Ovis aries: one gene and its partner. The protein of the gene in region 1 interacts with the protein of each later gene in a biochemical or structural test. Links are inferred from orthologs where the notes say so. Each region holds a gene or a part of one and is shown in the gene's direction. Other genes may lie near its edges. The genes, in order: DNMT1 and SETD7.

What was found.
Region 2: of the proteins of DNMT1 (region 1) and SETD7, one has a biochemical effect on the other in vitro, tested with the Homo sapiens proteins (2 studies listed by BioGRID and IntAct, with this or other methods). The link is inferred for Ovis aries from reciprocal best matches to the Homo sapiens genes DNMT1 and SETD7.

What each region holds. Positions count from the first base shown.
Region 1 is NC_056058.1:12,575,574-12,579,380, reverse strand, and holds part of DNMT1 (DNA (cytosine-5)-methyltransferase 1), read left to right. Parts: intron 1-1,830; coding exon 1,831-1,867; intron 1,868-2,528; coding exon 2,529-2,636; intron 2,637-2,824; coding exon 2,825-3,044; intron 3,045-3,807. UniProt on the Homo sapiens protein: Methylates CpG residues. Preferentially methylates hemimethylated DNA. Associates with DNA replication sites in S phase maintaining the methylation pattern in the newly synthesized strand, that is essential for epigenetic inheritance.
Region 2 is NC_056070.1:18,223,730-18,228,158, forward strand, and holds the start of SETD7 (histone-lysine N-methyltransferase SETD7), read left to right. Parts: upstream 1-1,374; 5' UTR 1,375-1,477; coding exon 1,478-1,517; intron 1,518-4,429. UniProt on the Homo sapiens protein: Histone methyltransferase that specifically monomethylates 'Lys-4' of histone H3. H3 'Lys-4' methylation represents a specific tag for epigenetic transcriptional activation.

The sequences.
Region 1 (3,807 bases):
GTAGGTGTTGTCAGCGTCGGGCAAAGGGCCCACTGGTGGGCTTCCATCTGAGCGTTGTCCTTGACGCCCGAGGTGACCCAGTCGAGGTGGGAGCTGTGTCCTGCCAGGGTTTTGTGAGCGCAGTGACTGAAGGTGGGTGGCTGTGGCGCTCCGGCTCTGAGCAACCTGTTCTGCAATCGTCCTCAACTAAGGCTCTCCCAGGACCTGAGTTGCTTTGAGGGTAGAATGACTTTTGCCTGGAAGGGCCTCCACATGCTTCTGAAAAGCCTGATTCTGAATCTTGGGTCCAGATTACAGAACACATGTGATACACAGCAGTCTACCGACAGAGTGGTTAATATGCTATCTTTTTTGTTTTGGCTGTGCTCCGTGGCAGTGTGGGTTCTCAGTTCCTTGGCCTGGGATCAGACCCAGGCCCCCTGCAGTGGAAGTGTGATTGTCTTTGCCGCTGGCCCACCAGAAAGCCCCTGCTCAGTCTCTTCTATAGCCAGACCTCTGCTGAGCATGCAGCGCCAGCCAGGAGGCCCCTGCCTGGCAGTGCCTACATCTCAGCACTCAGCTCGTTGCCTGAAACAGGGTCTGGCGCAGAGGAGGCACCCACAGATGATGTTTGCAGCTAGAAGCAGGATCCCCACCCACTCGGAGTAGCCACTGTCTGTCACTAGTCCAGCAGAGCCTGTCACTCACATTCCTGTCTGTGCTGCTTACATCTGCCCTCCCTCTGGGAAGGTCCGTCTGGGAGAGCTCTATTCCTGCCCTTTAGGTTGGTGGTAACCGAGCGCCTTGCCTGGGTGCCCAAAGGGAGGACCCACGCATGGTGGAGGCCCAGTCCTTCCCTGCCCAGGGCAACCCCCCTCTGCTGACGGACGCTGGCTTAGCTGGTTGGACCTGTTCTTACCCCGCTGCCCACAGGAACACTGCCCAAGCCAGGAACAACAGCCTCTCCATTTCCTCTGTGTCTTTTGCTTCTTGTTCTTTTATTCTCTTTGCTCCCTTCCCCTGAAAAGAGGCAAGACACTCATCTTCAGTAATCAAGTCAGACCATGATTTTTCCAGCGAAACTCATGACAGTTCTGCATACCTAAATGGCTAGGTTCAAACATTCACAAGGATGAGCTCTGGGGGGAGGCGCCAGCCAGCTTCTCTGACTTCCTCTCTCTCCCTTGTGTGGGGGGCACCCTGTGCTGCCCCAGGTGACCCCGACTCCATCTCCTGCTCAGGAGTGCTGCCACTCCACTCTCCCCATCCTGGCCTTTGGGGGTGTCAGCTGACTGTTCCCGCAGCCTCCTATTGCCCTGGTTCACTCTCTCTAACCCCTGTATGCCCTTCTGTGGACTCTTGGTCAGGTCCAACTGGAGGAAGACCACCTGTTGGTCACTTAACTTGGGAAGGACCCCAACTATGCTTCCTCTTTCCCAGTGTCTTTTTTTTTTTTTTAATCTTAATTTTTGACTGCACTGTTCAACATGCGGGATCTCCGTTCCGCAACCAGGGATCAGACCTGTGCCCCCTGCATTGGGAGTGCAGGCTCTTAACCACTGGACCGCCAGTGTCTTTAAAATAACATTGTTATAGAGTGCCTGTATTATCCCTTTCCACTATCAGAAAAACACCCCCAGAAAGGGAACCTCATTCAGATCGCAGATGACCTCTTAATGTGTATGTAGGCACTGCAGTGGGGCATTCTACACTTTGGGGGTGGGGGGGAAACTGTTGTATTTTCTAGTATCCGTGTTGAAGTTATTTCCAAAGTTCTTTAAACTTTGGTATTATAGATGAACAGTGTTGCTTAACAGGTATTTTCTTTCTTCCCTTTTTTCCTTCCCCCAGGCTCAAAGATTTGGAAAGAGATAGTTTGACAGAAAAGGTAAGGTCATCTCCACCTTAACAAAATCTGTTATCAGATGTGACTATCTGATAGACTGTGTGGCTCAAAGTGGAAATGGCGCTCTCTTCCTTAAGCTCTTAAGGATAACTTGGATGTTTTTGTCTAATGTGCTATATTAATAGGCTGTTATCAGTTAGCTTTTGGTCACTCATCAAGTTTCCCAATCTAGGCTGCCTATCATCCGGTCTAGATTATAACTTGCCCTGGTCACACTGCTTTTTCAGAATCCGTTTTGTTCTACTATACCATTATGTGTCTGTTTCACTTCCTAATCTTCCCATTTTTCACCACCCTATAGATGGTGTGATATGATCTTTTTTAAAAAAAAAAAAATTATTTGACTGTACCAGGTCTTAGTTGCGGCACATGAAGTCTAGTTTCCTGGCCAGGGATCAAACCTGGGTCCCCTGCATTGGGAGTGTGGAGTCTTAGCCACTGGACCACTAGGGAAGTCCCTCTTAAGAAACAATAATAAGTAATATGATCTTAATGGAAATATCACGAACATGCCTTGACTCAGCATTGCCTGCCATTCAGTCATTTGTTATGTGGCCAGGCAGTGTAACTGTGCCTTAGTCCATTAGTTAGAAACTCATAGTTTCGGAGTGTGGGGACTTCTAAACATGTATCCTTCTCTTAGGAATGTGTGAAGGAGAAACTGAATCTCTTGCACGAATTTCTGCAGACAGAAATAAAGAATCAGTTATGTGATTTGGAAACCAAACTACATAAAGAGGAATTATCTGAGGTAAGTCTTCAGGGTCCTGGCAAGTGCCTTGGCCTCCCGGGTAACTGGTCTGTGACAGGGAGGCCGAATAAGCCCAACTCCCCATGTCACCTGTTAGTTATATAAAGGGAACACTTGTGTTTCTTATTATTCTCTCATTGCCACTTGTTTACATTCACTGCTACTCAAATTATCCTTTCCTGCTGTAGGAGGGCTACCTGGCTAAAGTCAAATCCCTTTTAAATAAAGATTTGTCCTTGGAGAACGGAGCTCATGCTTTCAGTCGGGAAGCGAATGGATGTCTAGAGAACGGGAGCCAGACAAGTGGTGAGGATTGCAGAGTGGTAATGGCAGAGAAAGGCAAGCCCCCCAAACCTGTCTCCAGACTTTACACGCCCAGGAGAAGCAAGTCTGATGGAGAAACAAAGTGTAAGAGCATTCGACTCGTTTGACCTTGTTGGAGTGTGGTATCACCAAAGAGGAGGACACTTAGACTTGGCGCCATAGGTTCATCCCACCCCCTCCCCTGGGTAGCACTGATTTCTTGTGTATCCATATATGTATATATTTTTGGCCGCACTACTCGGCTTGTGGGATCTTAGTTCCCTGACCAGGGATCATACCTGGGCCCATGGCCGTGAAAGTGCCCAGTCTTAACCACTGGACTGCCAGGGAGTTCCCCCTTGTGTACACTTCTAACTAGCTTAGATGTAGAAAAGAAATTTTTGTCTTTGACCAAGTTTGAGAGCATTAGATCTCCAAACGTGGATGAATTTGAGGTATAAAGTAACAGGATCTACTGATACTTAGAACTAAGTTATATGCCTGTTTAAGCTAAACATTTATTCTTAGACTCCTTCCCCGTTTGTAGTCAGAGTAACTCTTCTGAAATGTTTAAAAGAATAAGAGCGTGGGACTTAAGCTCAGGTCAGGCTCTTGACCACTTCACCTTCTGATGATGTAAGTAGAGGTTCCGTTTCCTTGTCTGTGTCAGGGTTGGGCCTGTCATATAAGAGGTTGTGTTAAAATGGTTCAGCAAACTGGCAGGTGCTAATTTGGTGAGTTTTATCAAGATGGTGGTTGCTGAGAATAAGAAGAGGAGGAGTCTTAATCCTTAGAAGCTGGTCTCTGCAGCAGCCTGGTAATTCTGAAGAACTGTACTTTGCTGTGAACTTTTTTATTCTTAGTGACT
Region 2 (4,429 bases), on another chromosome or scaffold:
CCGCAAAGTCTCATTCGTGGTTCAGAAAACAAAACAGAACAACTTTCTCTGCTCCCTCCTCTCCGCTCCCCGCCCTCGCCCGCTGCGTGCAGTAGCTGTTCTTGGCAGATGCCCAGAGCGGCACCCGGTAATTCCACGGTACATTGTGTACATTTGCATCCATTTAACCAGCTATTTACAGCCGCCCTTTACCGCCACCTGTAAGAGGCAACGCCGTAATGACACTAAGTGGCGGGGCCGGGAAGCGGGGGCCCCGTGATGTTCTACACTTCAAGAGCAGGAATCTGTGAAGGGCTGGCACTTGGAGAAACCAAGAGACGGCTGGGGACATCACACGTACTGGGCGGGAGGCGACAGGGGGAGGCGCGCCAGACGGAGGGTCCTTCCTCGGGAGCTCCACTCGGTGGCTCCTTTTCCGTTACCACCACCGCGAGGAGGGACCTGCCAGGCCTTCCGCGCGGCTTATTTCCTGCCTGATAAAGAGCCCGCTGCCATTTGGATTTGCTGAAGCTCTGAATCACTCGAGACGAGACGCCTGATGGTCCCGAGGAGGGTGGGGACGCAGCGCGCTAGGGTGGGAGCCGCAGTCCGGCGGCATCCGGGCTGGATGTCACCCCCTGGCGCCTGGGAAACCTGCTCGCGGATGTGATGCTGCAACGCGGGGACACCTGCGCTCCCGTGCGTGCCGCACTCGTGCAGCTCCGGGTGGCAAACGGGATGAAGTGGGGGCGAGGGCGAGAGGAAGTTGAGGCGCTGGAGTATCAGGAACGCTGCCTGAGCTTGCCCGGCTCTTTGGAGGCTGTCCGGAGGAGCCGGGGCGGGGAGGGGAGGGCTGCTACGGCTGGCGAGCACTGAACGCGGACTTCCAAGGGGTCCCTGGCATAGTTGGAGGTCGAGCATTCTGAGCCCTCCCCACCCCCAAGGGTGGCTACCCGGAGGTCCCAAGCGCCGCGAGGAGAGCGCTCGGAGCGCACCCAACCTCGCAGAAGCAAAAGCTAAACCCGTAATGGGCCGGGGGACTGGAGGGGTGGGGCGCAGAGCCAGCGCGGACCGGGAGCGCCTTTCGTTTTAAGGAGCCTTACTTCTGGGAAGGGACAGGGAACTGTCAATCAGCGAGGGAGGGAGCGCACCGGCGCTGGGTGATGTCAGCGGATCAGCTGCTCGATAACAAAGAGGGGGTATTACAGGAGAAAGTTGCAGCGGCGGCGGCGGCGGCCACCGCGGCACCCCGGAGCCTGGGAGGCAAGGGGGCCAGTGGGCGAAGGGGAGGAGGGACGGCTGCCGACGGAGCAGCTTAAGGCCAAGGAATTGAAAGGGCTGTAGGGGGAGGCAGTGCGAGCCAGCCCCGACTGCTCCTCCTCTTCCTCCTCCTCCAAACTCGCAGGGTTCAGCCCCAGCGCTCGCTCAGCCGCCGCGAGCACCCGGAGGGACGCGAGGCAGCCGCGCGGCCCCGAGCTGGGCAGGGTCCCCAGCCGCCATGGATAGCGACGATGAGATGGTGGAGGAGGCGGTGGAAGGTACAAGCATCTCTGCGGGGCCCCGGGAGGAGGCGCCGGAGGGGGCACGGGACGCGGAAGGAGTGGCGGGCTGCGACCGGCGCGGCTGCGGGCCCCCAGCGGCCGCCACCGTCCCCTACGCGGGTGGCCGGGTTCGCGCAGGGGCCGGACGGCCACGGCCACGCCACCGGCGACGCGCACTGAGCGGCGGGGCGCAGGCCGGGAACCGGGCTCAGCGGGGCCGGGGTCCCCGGGGGGTCGGGAGAGGGGCACGGCTGCTCCATCCTGCCCGGCCACCGCCTGCATCCGCCCTCGGAGTTACAAAACCTGCCCGGCACTCCGGCCTTCCCCTTTTCGGGGATGGGGGATGGAGGTGCGCAGGAGGACAGACCCCCCCGGGCCCCCTCCCCCGCCGCCGCTGGCGATCTCGGCGGAGCAATCCTGAGCCCCTCTCCCGGCGCCAGCCCTTTCGTTCGGCTTGCCGCTGCGATCCGCGGTGACCGCGGTCGCGTCCGGGTCCGTCCCCCGGCGCAGCGCACAGGGCTGGACCAGGCACGTGGCAGCCGCGGCTCGGGCGGTCGCTCCTCCGAAAAGATGAAATCATTGCAGGGCCGGGGACAAGGCTCCGGACCCGGGGCTTGAACGCACGCCGACCTGGCCTCCGCTGCCCCGGAGCGCACTCGGCCACACCGCCCCTCCCCCTTCCTGCTTCCCCGGCGGCTGCCGCCGCCGCCACACTGTGCAGGCGCCCCGCAAGCCCGGACCCAAATTGCTGGGTGACACTTAACTTTCTGAATTCCATGCAGTTGGCTGTGGGTGATATCACCGCCTCTGTGTCGTGTTTCTCCGCCCCTTCGCTTCCAGCGCCCCTCCCCCGACTTTTCTCGCCACTTTGTTTTGCTGAGTTTCTCCACCTCTTTTTTCTTTTTTTTTTTTTTGGCTAGTTCTAAAAAAACGAGGTGGGGACGTTATACAATCTAGTTGTTTGTATCCTGAGACGTTATGATTTTGTAACAGTGAATACTGGAAAATACACGTTAGCGTTATTTATTTCTATGATTCTACCCTGGACGGTACGTCGTGATGTTTTGCAGTGTTGCGTGGTATTATTCCAGAATATTTTAACCAAACAGCTAAGTAAACATTTTTTAGCTTTTGGTTGAATCTGCTTTCTATCTAATTTGTATAAACAAGTTCTTAGAAATGGTAAAGAAAAACAAAGTGACAAGGCTTACAGACTCATGAGAATGCAGTTACTGCTACTTTGAGAGGAAAAAAAATCAATTTTTATATCAACATAATTGACTCCGTTTGCAATGCTCCCAAGGTCTTAGGGAGAGACTAAGTTGGATAATATTTTTGAATTCTCTAAAAGTTGTCTTCATGTAAGTGTTGAAACTTCTTTCTTTATCGTGCTTCAGAGAGTGTTGGTTTTGTTTTAAATTCACAATGCCCTGAACTATTTCTCTCTAAGTAAAGCCAATGCTGGAACTTCCTGGGGCCCAAAGACGTTGATTGGTAATCTTCTTTAAATTATTGACTACCTATGCCTTCATGTTATGAAAGATAATTGAAAAATGCTACTCTCATATTGTTAGGACTTGCTCTCATTCTTCAAAGTTTACTTAGACTCGTAAAAATAATGCAAACCCTTGATCACAGGTAGTGCTCCCAAGGTTAAACTACCTTACCCTTTGAAGCTGTTTGGAAACCTAAGACTCAGTTGTCCACAGTCCCAGGCTCCTTGCAGAATGTGAACAAGCCACTTTAGAAATACATCGATGCTTTTGAGTTTGCTCAATGGGTGGAAGCAGAGAAACTTCTTTATATAAGCAAGGAAGTTTCTGTTATATAGAATGTGGGGGTATGTTAATAGACATTATATCCAAAGTCAGAATATACTTGAGAAGGGTCACTATTTAATACTTATGCTGGCACAACTGGCTTAAACCTTGAATGTCTGGAGCAATCCAGGACACATGGTTACTCAGTAATACCAACAGTAAACAAAGTAACGCAGAGTCTTTAAGTCCTTAGAGGCGCACAAGGCTCCGACTCACACAGTGTCTAGAGCATGCATGTGTATAAGTAGGCTTTTTTCCAGCCATTCCTGGCCTTTTAAAGTGCTGTCTGTAATAGTGTCAAGATCTAACGCACGCACAGGGGACTGGTAAAAGGCTAGTCTGAGCATCTTGGTGTTGAAGAACCAGCTAACCTACCTCTGTCCATATATAGAGCATGTGTTCTCTGTAATTTCATTGTCTTAGCTATCATTCTTGCTCTAATTATTTAGTTCTTACCATGTGCAGGCTCTGTGCTAAGTGTTTCACACACACATTATGCGTTCAGTCTCATGATGTGGGTACTCATACTGTCCTAATTTTACAGAGGAGGAAACTGAGGCTTAGAGGAGTTAAGAACTGATCCAAGGACCCTCAGCCATGCAGGGGACAGGCTGGGACCCCAGAACCCTGCTCCACCATACTACATTGTCTCCCTGTGTGTGTGTGTGAATTGCTCAGTCATGTCTGACTCTTGGCAACCCCACGGACTGTAGCCTGCCAGGCTCCTCTGTCCATGGAATTCTCCAGGCAAGAATACCAGAGTGGATTGCCATTCGCTTCTCCAGATAGTCTTCCTCCACCCTTCTTATTTTTTATTTCTTAATGAGCCAGTCACATATAGGAAACAGTTGGTAGCTGAGTTTGAAAGCAACAGTTAAAGGTTGTGTCAGTGTCCTTCTTTATCAGTGTCACTCTTTAGAGACTGGTTCTGAAAGAGTTCAGTGACTTTCAGAAAAAAATATATTTGGGGAAAGAGAATTCAACTTATAGCCTCTGCCAGCGACATCCTTTTTCTTCCTCCTTGGAAATTTACTCTGGGGAAGAAACTGGTCTCTTCAGGACTGAAGTTTGAGTGTTGATCGTCGTATC